Linked DNA regions of Lepisosteus oculatus. The protein of the gene in region 2 purifies or fractionates together with the protein of the main gene of each other region. This does not show direct contact. Links are inferred from orthologs where the notes say so. Each region holds a gene or a part of one and is shown on either strand. Other genes may lie near its edges. The genes, in order: prkar1ab and akap11.

Region 1 (8,171 bases), on a different chromosome or scaffold from region 2:
AGATAACGCACAAAACATGTAAGTGAAGACACTTAAATCCTTCATACAAAGAGTGAAAGTGTTTAAGACAAAACTGTTCATGTAGCCTTACATATGAAGTGTAAAAGTTTGCTCAGGTTTGAAACATACTCCTGTTGTTTAGACTGCAAGATCTTTGGTGAGAACCTAAACACAAAATACTATCAAAAATGTGGCTTTCAGATCAGCATGTTAATAAATGCAAAGTTTCTTTCCATTGAACATCTCTCTTCTATCTATTAACCACAGAAGTCAACCAACAGCATGAACGTGCAGTACATCCGGAGCTACTATCAACCAAAAAAGGAAACAGCTCTTTTTTAACTGCTCCATACCAGGATAGATTTAATGGTGGCCTCAACTATTGACCCATGATCTCTGTAAGCTATTGAACATATGCCAGAGAAGGCCTCTTTTTCACATTTTAGCTTTGTTTGCAACAAAGTGAACTGTGCTGAAATGTCATTAGAAATGTTGAAGACCTGCCTGTCTTTATTGGCTTGTCTTAATATACTTAATACTTAAACCCAAAAGCAACTTTCTTAAAACCAATGAAAATAATTCCATAACTTTAAATCATTAAGCAGATATTAAGAAATTACTTATTTGAACATGCTACTAAAACAAAACAGATAAAGCGAGTGTACTAATTCATTCTGTTCCTCAACAGATCATTATTAGAGCACCACCTTGCTTAACAGTGCACTGCTGCTTGGATTCAGGTCAATACGAATCTCTTTAAGATTTGCCTATTTATGTACATAGTCAAAAATAAAATTAAGATAATGTATTAAAAGTTCTTAAACCAATTTTCTTAAATCAAATATAAGAAACTTAAAAAGTTACAAAAGATTAAAAGCACTACAGAGAGGATGAAATGAGTATAGAAAAATGTTGAAGCAGGGCTGCAAAAATGTTAAATCTTTGCTCAGTTTCCTGCCTTACACAAAATAATTATCCATGCCAATCAGTAACGATATATGCAAGTGAATAAATATATATACATGTGTATATAATGTCACATGTTCAAATACAACATAGTAAGCACATGTAAATCTAAGGTCTGCTTCCTCTGAACTTGTGTTTCTTGCTTAGAGTGGGTAAAACTTGGCAGAAAACTCCCATCAAAAGTAGAATTCAATTTATGTATACATAAATTACTCATAAGCCTTTGTGGTAGTTGATCATATTCACAGATGTATCTAGACAAAAAATGACACTTAAATTTTAAATATTTTCTATTTTCAAATATTCACAATCTTGCCATTTGCTGCTGTTTATTTTTGTAAAGAAAAAAATAATTTTGTTCCAGATCATTATGTACACTTCAACACAGGTGAGACACCGCTGTTGTACCTTTGTGCAAGGTATTTCATATATACTGTTCCAGCAAAATACCCAGCTGTATAAACAGGTGCAAACATAAATTGCTTTGGATAAAAATGGAAGCCACATAAGTCAGTAGTAAATTAGGAAACTATAGAGGATTCCTTCATTGCAGAAATATTAACAAACCCTATTGATTTACTAAATATCAAAAAGTTAATTTTTAAAACAACTTTCTGCTAATTTCATTAAACAGTTTAAAATCAATTTTAGTTTTCCTGCACAAAAAAACAAAGAACTAAAATAGCCGGAATGCTAAAACACCCGACAAATACAGGAAAAAAATATGGAAATCTTGAAAATAGATTAAAACTTGTTGAAAATCCATTTAAATACAGATACTCTGCCCTCTCTCCGTTATATTTAGAAACAATTTTTATTAAACAAGTAAAGGTCATTACAGTTTGAACTGTCTAACTGCACCTCATGCTCCATCTTATTAGTAAAGGGGGCTGTGTTGTTTTAAATATTCCAATTTTGTTTTCTTATCTCACCGACTTGCTACTGAATAAAACTCCGATCTGTGTTATACCACGATATCACAGGACCTGGCCGCCAGACCTCTAGCTGCAAATCAGGATCTGTTTAAAAACAAAATATTTCACTAAATTGCACGATATAACTTTTCCAAACGAATAAAGAATTTAATGATCTATCAGACAGGCCACTGTCTCAGCACTGCACTGTATATCAAAGCTTGACAAAATGATCTCAACACCATACAACAAAACTGAAACACACAACATGCAGAATATCAAAAGTTATACGTCGCTTGCATGTTTGTATAACTCGACTTTGCATATTAAACTGGGTTCTATCTTATAATTTCAACAAAACCGGTGTCAGCTGTAAGCGTTTATGTGACTGTCACAAAACATTTAAAGTGATTATAAACTTCAATAATTAGCATAAAATGTAAACCCATGATAAGCTAAAACATCAACGACTTGTCAAGTACTTGTTTTATTTTTTTTTGGTTATGAGTGGAAAAAACACACTCCTACATTTCAATGGGTACTGATGCCATTATAAAAATCTATACAGCAAACGAGGAAAAAGTTAACCGACACACTGCTCTGTGCATGTAAGATAATCATCAACATCGAGATCACTCCACATCAAATATAAAACAGGAGACATTAGGGTCTCCAAGGCAGTATAAACGTTAGGTAATTTCAACGGTCTTTTGCCTTCCGAATTTGTCGCGATTTCCGAAATAAAATGGGGCACAGTCGAGAGTCTTTGACCGAACTGACAACATAGCGGTGAGCGTCTGTAAACAGCATCTGACAGCAGGCTCTCGCCATCAAACGAGGGGGTATCAAATTAACGGAAGAAACGCCATCTTCAATAGGACACGTAACTATCCAATAAATATACAAATCCTTTTAGAAGTTTCTTACGCGAAGGCTCGCGAGGGTAAAGAGAACTTTGAGAGTCGCGTAAACATATTTTGGGGCCGCAGAGCCCTCTTCCTAGTGACGCCATCTTGAAAAGCTATCATAACAAACGGGAGGCGCAGACGACACGACTAGCGGTTTCTCGCAATTCGCTCTCGTACATAACTCCAGTATCTGACAAAGAAGCCTTACAAAACAGACGGCCAACGACTTACCCAAGCCGTTAGAATTTACGTTTCCGTTCGTTGGCCTATATTTTCTCACTGACACTGAAAAAAACTCCTCGCTTCGCTTTTCCCCAGTCCTTGGATGGCTGCCCCACCGGAAACGTGGCAGGACCAATCACAAGCGACCATTGACGTCAATTGGCCTCGTTCTGACACGATAGCTGTAACCCTTAGCAACCTTAAAGGGCAAGTTTGAACGAATTCATGACGTCAGAACAAGAATCTGGCGTCAGGATTTGTACCGGAAGTGGTAAAACACAGCAATGGTTAATGTATATTATTATTGTCCTTCTTGTGGAGACGAAAAACGTGGTTCTCCGTTGGAAATATGTATTTTTAATCTCTCTCATTTTATTTAAAATACATATGCTGTGATTCAACTCTAAAGAAGACTCTTTTAACCATTTACCCAATCCCATAATAACAGATCAAGGTTAACTGAGGTAGTGTTGAAATTTAGATATCACCTTTACTTACTGACAAAACCATTGGATAACAGCATTATGAAATATATACCTATTCTTTAAAAATGTTTTAATGCATGTTTACAACATTTCAAGCCACATTTGTGTGTCAAATTATTAAATTACATCTGAGGAATCTATTTCAATCTACTCGGAAGAAGCAATTTTTCTTAAACAGATTTGAAAATCCTTCCTTGGGGGTGATTCATGTTCCCAGGCCAAAATGTTCTGAGTGTTCTTCTCTAAAATGCAAAAATAAATTATTTAAACAATTTTGTTTTTAGTTTTGAACAGAGAAAACTACAAAGAGACCAGGCTGAAATATTCACATGCTTTTAAAGTCATCCCAATGGACTACAGAGCAACACAGAAACACATACCAGAGACTATAAATAGACACTTTGAGGAAGTTCATAAACAGAGAGTTGATTTAGTCTTCAGCGTTTACCATGTTGCTACTGGCATTCCTGTCAGAATTATACTCTTTTACTTGTACTTAAACACACCACTCCTCCTCTTGGCAAATTCCAGGAGTTTGCCGAGGGCTGAAAACACAACCCCCTCCTTCTCTTCCCATCTCTCTCCTCCCTCACGGCTGCCTGTGCTGGCCCGTCCCTGAACACACCTCCATTCCTATTGACTGTCTGGAGTCCAGAAATACAGCCCAACCACAGAATTTCTCAGGTGTGGGGAAATTAGGCAAACCAGTGTCCTCAGCATTACTGACTCAGTCACTCCACTGCCATACAGCCGCCGTCCCTGCAGGGTGAGTGCCACTACCATTTCATGTTCTTTTGTAAATTGTGTCTGCTTCTGGGGAGGTACGCATTTTTTTTAAATCCACACGAACAATACTCTTTTTTATCTTAGGTGCATGTAAAACACCTACTTACAGTGTACTGTGTTCCCTTAGTGAAGTGTGACTGTGTCGAACTACCAGGTCCAACAGTGGACATCTTTATGGGACTGTCAGGCTAATAAGGCAGCACAGTGTACTGTATTTATATTAATACCCAGTTTGGTGCAGTGGCTCTGTAGCTAAGGATTTGTGCCTGTGGCTGGAAGGTTGCTGGTTCGTATCCCGCGGCTGGCAGGGGAATCCTATTCCGTTGGGCCCCTGAGCAAGGCCCTTAACCATAACTGCTCCAGGGGCACTGTGTAAGTGGCTGACCCTGTGCTCTGACCCCAAGCTTCTCTCCTTGTCTGTGTGTCTCATGCAGAGCAAGTTGGGGTATGCAAAATGACAAATTCCTAATACAGGAAATGTTATATGACCAATTAAGTGTTTTCTGTGGATCTTGTGTCAATTAAATGATCTTATCACACAATACATTAGGGTCTTAGTTCTAAAGAAGTAAGGATCAATATAAAAGAAACATCTGAGAATAGTGAGATAAGAAAGCACCATGAAGATTTAAGCTACACAGCTTTGACTAATTTAAAAATATATAGATATATCATTCAATGCTCTGAAATCTAAATTCACAGTTACGAAATGGTGGTTAGCCTGCTTTTTAACAGGGTGCAAGAAAAAGCAAAGTTTGAGAAGAACTGGCACAATCTTATCATTGGAAAAACACAGGGAAAAAAAACAGGTGTGTCGTTCTGTCTTAAAGGCAACTCGATCTCAGTGCCTCACAATCTCCCAGCTTTGCACTAAAGATCTGTTGAATGTAAATTTGGAATGAAGACCCAATGTATGATATTCAAGTAAAGATTTATAACCCAATTGACCCAACTTTTTTTGCTTTGTCATGAAAAGTAAGAACTGTGTAAAAACAGCTATACCACTGTCACTAGAGCCAAGAATACTGCAGATTACACTTGCATGGAATGGAATACAAGCTTATTATTCAGGTTATTTATAAATAGACCACTATAAAGGTCTTTTTATATTTCTTAAACTTTTAATTTCCCTCAAAAGGAGCTTAACTTTACACACAATAGTCTTAAACAGTTATATTTTCCATGCTGATGTGAAAGACTCAGTGAATACAAAAATATGCTCATGAAGTTCTAAGGCTATGCAGGGTGCTGTCAAAAGTAGGCAGGGTTTCTTGCTTTATTGATGTGCTTCTCTGTGCTCTTGCTGCAGGGTGCTCAAAATCCTGGACAACACATTCCAAGAGCCTCCCTTGTTGAAACATGTCTCTGTACAGCTTCGGACTTGATCCGTTGTCATGTCATGCCTGGAATAAAGACCGAACTCGTAAGTAAAAAAAAACTGGTCGAGCAGCTTCATCCTACTCCAGTCTTAGGGGTCCATCCTCTATGCATTGTACAATGATTTTGTCAAGCCTGTGTAATATCTATCTACCGATCTATTTTCTAACTGCTGTATCCAATACAGAGTCGCAAGGGAACCTGAGCCTATTCCACGTAATATCCAGCACCACCATTTTAGGTCTTTGCTCAACACTTTTGTCTGTATCTTTCTATTTGGGCCATAAATAGTTTCTGTTACATGCCTATGTCTTTCTGCCTTAACAGACATTCAGGAGGTCTTTGAGTATGTTTTCTCATGAAAAAGTTTAGATGGTTTACTTATAAGGGAAAAATAGCCTGAAACTGAATAGATTTTTTTCTGTTGGTGAGGAAAAGTGTTTAAAAGTCTCATCTTTCTTTTGTGGGGCGGTGATTAGTGAACTTGATATCACACTTTTAATGGGCTAAAATGCCACGACGTGAGAGCCAGAATCGTTAGTTCAGTAAATACTATACTGTATGTAAGCAATGCAATATGTTTAATATTTTTTCCCCTTGCAGAAATCGCCATCAGTCCCAACAATAATGAGGTCCACATTTACCAGAAAAAGGGGAAAGAATGGAATAAGATCCATGAGCTGAAAGAGCACAGTGGTCGCATCACAGGTAGTGCAACTTTGGAGAAGAATCTATGACTGAATCGACATAACCTTTAAAATAGTTAATTGTTTGAAGCAGTGTGGCCTCTGTGCATCACAGAGCAGCAACCAAATACATAGAAAATCAAAACATGCAGCTGTTGCATCCTTGTATTAAGGTAACTGAAACACTTTTATACTGTATATACAGTACATATGCAATTGTGATTAAAGTCTCAAGTTTTAAATAAAGAAACAAAATTTAAAAATAGTCATGGAAGTCAGGACTGTAATGTTTCTCATTATGTATAACCTTGCTATCTTTTAAAACATAAATTCCTTTTCTGTCAGTTTTGGACACAGCATTCTCTCTTGCACAGAGTACATTCTTCAGCACTTTGTTTTGACTTCTATTCAATCAGTTCACACATACTGTACATACAGCATGTGTTTTTACATTTCAAGTCTTCACTGCACTTTATTGTAAACATGGGATAATATAGAAAATGTTAATGATCAAGAGGTAGAAACAGACTCTTTCAAGAACATAAGACTTTCAGAACAGGCTGTCTGTTTGGCCCAAGTAACTTCTTGGTTGCTAGCAGGTGATAGATCAGAGGACCCTATCCACGCATTTCTAGACGGAAATCAGGGAATTAACATAAATATTGCTGAGTGTATTATGTTTTGAAATGAAATAAAAGTTTTGTGGTTGGATGGCTTGTTCCAGTTCCCCACAACGCTTTGTGTACAGCCAAGTGCTTTTCTTTCTTACATTAACTTCCCCTTGGTGGTATTCACTGATGTCTTCTGGGTCACATTTCACAGTTGTCTGTGAAGACGTCCATTGATTTGACTTCGTCATTACCTTAGAGAATTTGGAATACTTAAATCAAGAACCCTCACACTTGAATTCATTCGAGACTGAAGAAATTCAGTTTCTCTAACCTCTTCGGACTGACTCCAGTGTAGATATGTCCTTTTTGAAATGTAATGACTAACCCTGTGTACAGTATTCTAAATGAGGTCTTTCAAATACATTACATAATTTAACATCATTGCCATGTTAACGTCAAAAAGCTTTCTTTTGGTATCATGATTGTATGTAACATTTCATTATCTGAATGCTTTAGTTTTTGGGAACAACTCATGATCAGCTATGATCATAGTACTGGGGCAATGTTATAGGTTTAGCCTGTGTGTGTGCTTTCAGGTATAGACTGGGCTCCCCAGTCCAACCTCATTGTGACCTGTGCCTCTGACAGAAATGCCTATGTGTGGACCCTGAAAGAGGAGGGTATGGTATGGAAGCCCACCCTGGTGCTGGTTCGGATCAATAGGGCCGCCACCTGTGTCAAGTGGTCTCCACTAGGGAACAAATTTGCTTTGGGCAGTGGGGCGAGAATCATCTCCGTTTGTTACTTTGATAAGGGGAACAACTGGTGAGTGCGATGAAGAGGGTGTGTGATTTTCTTCGCCTCTGTTTTTTGTCACCTGTTTTTAAGCTGGCAGAAATGCAGACTCTGCTACTGTGTTCTGACATACTGTACTGCCACACAAAGAAGAACTCGCATTCTGTTTCCAACCAGAAACCTCTAGCTGTGATTTCAGTCTTTCTTTTTTGCTGTTGTAAATTCTAGCCATCTGTGGCTCTTGATATTCACAGATAATGTCTTCATTTGATTTCCAGGTGGCTGAGCAAGCACATCAAGAAACCTATCTGCTCCACCATTCTGAGTCTTGACTGGCACCCCAATAATTTCCTCCTGGCTGCTGGCTCTGCAGACTTTCACTGCAGGTCAGGGTCTCCGAGCCCCCCCCACCACAACAGCA
Region 2 (7,368 bases):
GATCCTGCCTACAGCAACTACGTCCTAGGTCAAGAGGCAAACTGTGCCCGGTGCAGTAGCAGAGGAACAGACTCCTTTATCAACATCTCAGGTGAGGACCCTGCTGGGCTGTACGTACAGTACCTAAAAATGACTGGAGGAAATGTGGCAACAAACAGAGCATGCATTTAGACACATGTGCAGCACATACAGTAGGAGTATTACAAATTTCAGAAACATTATATAAAGGAAAACTGCCATTAGAAGATTTTAAATGAAAAACAGTATCAGCCAGACCCACCAGGATGCCATATGTTTTGTTAGTGACATGAATTTAAATGACAAAACATTCATAATAATAATAGCTTCCCAGACAATACTGAGTACTGTGAGGGGACATTACAATCAAAGAGTTAAATCTTTTTGTGTCTACGATTCTACAGTAGGAGAGATGAGCCAAATCTTTTTCCAGGAACAAACCCCAGCCAGCAGTCTTTGAGTAAAAAAGCAAACCTTACCAAACAGTGGTTTTTGGTTCCCAATACAGAAAGGACCTACCCCAGTATTTTCCCTGTTTTTGATTACGAATGACAGCAAAAGAGTAACAGCACACTGAATGACGTACTGAATGCTTTGTATGGCAATGCTTAGCATGATTCACCTTTTCATAGTGGTTAGCAAGAGAACTGATTTAAACAACACACCAGAACTGTCCCATTGTAAAACTAGGTGCTATTAATCATTGTGTGAATAGTCCAGTCGCTGAATCTATCTTTGGTCAGCGTTCACATCCATCGCCCGTGAGCGCGCAAGGAAAAATGTGCAGCCTCAAACAGATTGGACGTCATTCCCAGAGTGAAGAAACCGTCCTGTGACACAGTAGACATCCAACCAGCACCACAGCGCTGCCTGGAATTCTTTCCCATTGCAAACAAAGGAAGCTGCAGATGTGAGAAAAAAACCCCCGCCAGAAAGCTTCGTGCGCATCTCTTCCAAAGCCATGGCACGTAACCAAAACGATTCTCTTTCAAACGATGAGTCAACAGAAGTAAGCGACTGTTTATTTGATGCCCTGTATTTATGAGAATTGGCCTAAATCAGCTGAAACCTTAGCCAGCCGCTCCTGGAAATGAAGAAAGTAGCCAACACCTCTGTGACCCTCACTGGCGCTTAAAATACTACGCAAATGTATTCTTCTAAGCCGACAGTTATTTAGGCTTTAATTAAGTTTTGATGAGACAAAAAACTGTATAAGATGGCCGTTCCTATGTTCTGTTAACCCTGTTAGTTTGTGTATGTGTGTTTGCGAGTAGCAAAGTTCTCTCCGAAAGCAGAGAACAGGGGTCACTAACTGTATGCGTGAGACTAACATTGCATGGTAGAGCTCACATGTGTCTATTTCAAAAAGCTCAAGAGAATGTCTGTTCAACCATCTGTATGAGCAAACATTTACAAACATAGGAACACTAATATAGGTCAGGCTTTCAAGCGTGCGTGTACAGTTTTTATGTCAGTGTGGGCGCGAGTACGGGGGTGGATACTGAACGGAAACCAGGATCTGTACTAAGAAATACTGTACTTAGGATTTAGAATTTGTAGCAAACATACTGCAACTTTAGAAACGGCAATAACAGTAAACTCTCCAACAACATGAGACATGCACATCTTTCTGCACAGCAGCAACTGGACATGATCAGGCTGGAAGTGTCCATCTGACTTAGAAAGTAATATGTGAAAGAGGACAGACAACAGTCCTCGGGTTGTATTTCCTAATCGCACTAAGTTTCGTACTGTATGCCAATTCAAACAACCTCGGACATCCAGTCACAGTCCAATCAGAATAAGCAATGAAAATGGTGTCATTTGAGGAGATGTATTTGACTTTTAACACTCAAAAGAGACACTTGGGTCGATGCTCCACGCTACTCTATAGCACAAGACCCTCCACACTCCTTGATTAATGACACCTTTTCGAATGCACATCCTATTTACAGCATGAATTCTAATATCCCAGTGCTCACAGTTTATATGAAAATAAAAAAAAATGTATGGAGCCTAATAACTACACTTAATTACACAGCACAAAAAAAGTAGATTTCTTATCACCTTCACCTCATGTGAATAGTGTATTGACCGTTGCAGGGGAAACGCTTTGTGAAGGGGAATTAATCTGAGCAGCCAGCGCTAATGCCGCACTTCGGCATGCTGTAAAACCGCTGGGCGTCACAAACCGAAGACGGAAAACTGCCGAAACACCCGATAACATACTAGCGACGGCATAAACGCAATCTAAAAACAAACCAGGCACATAGGGTACTGGTGCTCCCTAATTATGGCAAAAGTTCCAGTCTGGGGGGAAGATGGTTTACACTCCCTGGGAAAAGCGATCAACCCACTCGCATTCCTACTGTGGATGAATTAGTGTCGCATCTTCCCTGCTGCTGTACTGTATCGATGCTATTTGGATTTCCAGTCTTTGAGGACACTATAGCGAATGCAACATGTCGAGTTTTTAACCATCAGCGTCCAGACACAGAATAGCGACTCAATACAAACCCACTACCCCCTTTCCCTTCCAACCCCGCGCAGGGGAACGGAAAGACTGCCATTAAAGCTTTTATTTTCCAAGAATTGTTTTCAGGGCCGCGGCCTGAAAAAAAACAACATTAACCAGACCCGTTTGTATCATCCGTCATTTACCCATGCATGACCAGAACACATGTTCGTTTACCACAACAGATGTGCGATCCTGTCAAGAAAAGGTGTGTCATGTGTAATCACTTTCATCTCAAAAATGATTCTCACCGTTTCGCCGTCGGACCCGCGGCTGCTGTCAGTTCATTTCACAAAAACAAGAGAAACCAGGCCGAAGCAATCCAGTCCGAATGATGATATATTCGTGGGAGAAAGCTGCCAGGGTTACTAAGGAACACCGAAACGATGATGGGAATGCGAAAAGGTTGCAAATTTATATAATTTTCCACCAGTGTAAAATTAACACCTCGGAACTACAACATTCCGGCTTATTTTTTACAATTTGCCGGGCACAATTTTAAGATTTTAAAAAGCTAAAGCAGACGTTTGGTTGATGTTCAAATTACAACCACATGGAAAAAATAAATTATTGCGTTGTTAACATAGTGTATACGTACAGTATATTGTAGCTTCTGTGAGCCTGGATACGGACGTAGAGTCTGTTTAAGTTTTGTGCCGGACAAGGTAGCTGTTGTCAAACCGATGACGTACCCCAAAGATTTTTATGAAAATGATTACTTCGTGTAAATGTTTTACTACTTTTAATGATTACTTCAAATGTACATTTAATTTGAATTGCATTTCAAAGGTGGTAGTTTGATCCCTTTAAAGTAAAAAAAAGGTAAGATTTTATAGGAATAAAATATCCCTAAGGCTACATGCGACTTATTAACATTCATAATAATTTAATGGTCATTTTTCAAATGCATATTAACTATTCATCATTACTCTAACCCTAACACAACCTCTGTTGTTATATATTAATAAATATTTCTGAATGTTACTATAGCATTAAAAAAATAACATTTTTGGTGACCACCATGTGAAGTGATTGATGCACAGTAGCATTAAAATGTATTCATATCAGGATAAACTGTAACTAAAAGTTTAATAAAGGAAATGCAGGTGTAAATTATGTTTTTTTAAATGTTACGGAATTTACTGTATCACATCAAAGAATACTGAATATATCAAAAGCATAAGTGTAACAAATAACTACATACCATGAGAGTCATTAAAATTCTGGAATTTCTAAGTTTCAATAAGAATTATATGCATTTTTATGCCTCAGTATATAATATATCATTAATTCATATGCAAATAATTTGATTACAGTCTGGAATGGCGAGACTAGAAATTAGTATGTGTAGTCTTGAACAGAGAAGACTACTGTATGATGGCACCCGATACAAAGCTTCTGGATTCCCACTGGACGTTGGATGCAAGCAGAGGATGTGTTCTGTGGGGACACAGAAGGTAAAGAAGAGGTGCTTCTGTACACAAAGGATTGTGGGAGTGTGGAACAAGTCATGTTGTTGAAACTGATACCATAGCTTCCTTCAAGACACACCTGGATGATATAATGGGATCCTATAAGTACTAAAGGCCAAATGCCTTCCTCTCATTTGTAATTTTTCTGACTGTATGTTCTTACCTGCATCAAGCCAATATTGGAAAGACCCTTCCTGGCGTTCTCTTAAGTTGTGGCAATGTGGAGTCTACCCTGGTAGCAGAAGAGGTACAAGGCGGGACTACATCCTGTTCATCGCACGCACAAGGAGACAATAATAATTGAAATAAATGTGTTGATGTAAAACAAGTGCATATTTCACTTATTATATAGATATTTTTTTGAACATCTAAATAATCAAATTTGCACCTCAGATATCTTTAAGATTAGTTTTAGAATATGGAGGATAAGTTTAGCTCTAGAGCAAAACACTTTGAAAACGGCCTAGCTATGAATTTGGGTATCAGCAGAAGCCACCAATCTGTCATATTAAATTCCTCTGTGCCATCCTGACAGACAGTTACAACATAGGATTTATATTAAATTTACAACTATGTCACAGCAGTGTTTCGCTCCAGACTGAATGGCTGTGCTGTCAGTCCAGTAGTCTCAGAGGATAATGGATTAATAAAGTGGTCCTTTGAAAGTGCAGTCTATAATTCCAGTCCTGCTGAGGGGTAATGAGAGAGAACAAAGGCACTAAGTCACGCATAAAAGCTTGGCTGAATTACATGTGTTGTAAACTTCTAGCTCAACGTTAAATTTTCTTTATGGGACTGTATATTATCAGAGGCTGATAAAGAAAAGAAAGTTCTTCCGATCTACACAAGGTTGGAATGATTAAGGAAACATTGGTGTCTGACAAAAGTCCTTTCGCTGCTGTTTAACCAGCTGCAGAAGGCCTTTGTCTGAAATTATTTTTTAATCATTTAAGCCTTCAATATGACATAGAACTACCTTTCTCTATCAATCATTTATACTGTATATACAATGTGGCTTAACCTACCCTATCTCTCTAGATTGGGACACCAGCAGAGGTTAGTGTGGGCGTTAAAAGCCACAGTGAATTATGGGTATAACTGGTATACCCCTGAAACTCTTAAGGCTGTCAAATTTTGCTCCAACATCTTGCACGGCCTAAGAGATAGATAAGAATTGTGTATGAATATTCATTTGGTCTTCGTTGAATTTGGTCTTCGTTGAATCAGCAGTGCTACAGGAGACGGGACTGTAGTAAGATTTTTCATTTAGTTTTGTGGTAAGAGGAGCTGGAATGAGAAATCGTAACACAATGAACACAACTTGTTTCATTGTTAACCCATGTGCAGTATTTGCTCTCACTTGGCGTGACTATAGAGTAATCCGAGTAAATGTCTCTGTGAGGGACACCGCAGTGATGTATGAATTGGCGACTTGAACCCATAGCCTTTTGCCCCAGCGGGAACACGAGAGGGGAGATCACACGTATTGGAGCCTCCCTTTGTGAGATGAAAAACTGCACGAGCACAGACTACAGCTGAGAAGAACAGTCCTAACACGCAACCTGCAACCCTTCCTGGCTGCCTGAGATTTTCATCACATGGGTTCACTGGGCACACTGGGAAATGGATGACACAGTTGTTGTAAATACCACACCTTGAAGGCGATTGCTGTGTTATATTGTAATATGTTGCTTTCCCTTTTGTATAACACTGTGACTTTGAACTACAGGATATTGTGCATTCAATTTTCAGTGTAGTTTAATGTACTGTATTTTGGTGAATATTTCCGTCTTCATTACAGTACATATCTTTTGGAAAATGATTCAGTCAGCATATTTTATTTACTGTACAAATCCAAAAGCATGAGATAAGAAGTTTCAGGGTGAACAAAGTTTCTGCTCTCTGCCAATAATTTGTTATTATTTTAGTTGTATGTTGGACGACACGATGGTGCTGTGGTTAACATTGATGCCTTGCTGCGCAGGGCCCCTTGGTTCAGTTCTGGATGCGGGATGTTATCTGTATGGAGTTTGCATGGGTTTTCTCCGGTTTCTCCCCACTGATAGCTGGTGTGTGGGGAGCGTACTGGTGCACTGCCTGCCATCGCATCATCCAGGTGGGGCTGCACACTGGTGGTGGTGGAGGGGAGTCCCCATTACCTGTAAAGCGCTTTTAGTGGTGTGTCCAGAAGAGTGTTACAGAAGTGGAAGGAATTATTATTATGATTATGAAATGGGATATCTGTCAAAATAGCATATATTTCTAAGTTCATGATGCTCACATTTATTCATACCTTGCAATCAGTGGATAGGTTCTCAAGCCTCTTATGAGGGATATTCTTACAGATTACACAACTCGATCTTGTGATCTGCTTTCTTCAGCTCATAAACATTCTGCAGGAGCCTATAGTAACTATTCAAAAACACTGAGTGTTTTACTCTCATAACCACCTGATCCCTTCTTTTGAAATATTTTATTGCCCTTTTTAATACTGCAATATATTAAGGCACATTAATTTGCTATGATGGGTTTACAGCTCACATTGTCAGTGTATAACTGTACTAAATAAGAAATACTCTTCTGTTTTTCTGCAGCCTTATAATGCTTACAATTCCAAATTTCGAGGATTTTACTATTTTTACGATAGGATTTTACAATCTTACTATTATATCTTCCTTTCTATACACATGTGTCCATATACTGATTTTAAACCAAGCTCAATTTCTGTTTGGGAAAAGGCACTGGGATTAATTGAAATTATGTGTTTTAAAAATACTTAATGTTTCCTATAGAAGGATGGAACTAGCTGAAAAATAAGATTGAAATTACATTAATACTTAAGTATTATATAAATTTGCATAAATCACTTTTGGGGAATTTATATATTTCATTATTATAGCCTCTGGCTCTAATATCCTTTTATTTTAATTAAATTAAGACCAAATGTTCAGACAGTAGGTGGAATTTAATGTTATTTTTACCACCTGTAATATAAATTAAAACAAATGTCTTTCAGAAACTCTAAAACGTGTACACAAAGATTTATCTCACTCCCCTAATTTTTGTGGTTTTCTTTCAAGAAAAAGCAGGTGTCCATTTAAAACAGCTGCAAAGGCTTTATGAACATGGCCTGGGGTGTTTTGACATTTGAAGAGAGTAAATACAACACATCATGAATGCATTCAGTTTTATTTAGGTAGGAAGATCTTAACTGGTAGCCTTTACTTTAAGGCATTTCAAAATGTACAACAAAATTGAACCACTGATTTCAGCAGAATACAAAAATACACATCTCAGTGACTTCCATACAGTAATAAATAGGTATTAATCATGCATTCTACAATAAAAAAGGCACAGAAAACA

What was found.
Region 1: the proteins of akap11 (region 2) and prkar1ab purify together in Homo sapiens (affinity purification with mass spectrometry; 3 studies listed by BioGRID and IntAct, counting the BioPlex papers as one, with this or other methods). This does not show direct contact. The link is inferred for Lepisosteus oculatus from reciprocal best matches to the Homo sapiens genes AKAP11 and PRKAR1A.

The regions. Positions count from the first base shown.
Region 1 is NC_090704.1:39,814,883-39,823,053, forward strand, and holds the start of prkar1ab (protein kinase, cAMP-dependent, regulatory, type I, alpha (tissue specific extinguisher 1) b), read right to left. Parts: upstream 3,151-8,171; 5' UTR 3,020-3,150; intron 1,986-3,019; 5' UTR 1,937-1,985; exon of another isoform or gene 1,899-1,936; intron 1-1,898. Other genes in the region: actin-related protein 2/3 complex subunit 1A-A, read left to right, coding at 5,641-5,704, 6,262-6,366, 7,552-7,780, 8,029-8,136. UniProt on the Homo sapiens protein: Regulatory subunit of the cAMP-dependent protein kinases involved in cAMP signaling in cells.
Region 2 is NC_090710.1:16,668,369-16,675,736, forward strand, and holds the start of akap11 (A-kinase anchor protein 11), read right to left. Parts: upstream 3,197-7,368; 5' UTR 3,132-3,196; intron 2,863-3,131; exon of another isoform or gene 2,785-2,862; intron 1-2,784. UniProt on the Homo sapiens protein: Binds to type II regulatory subunits of protein kinase A and anchors/targets them.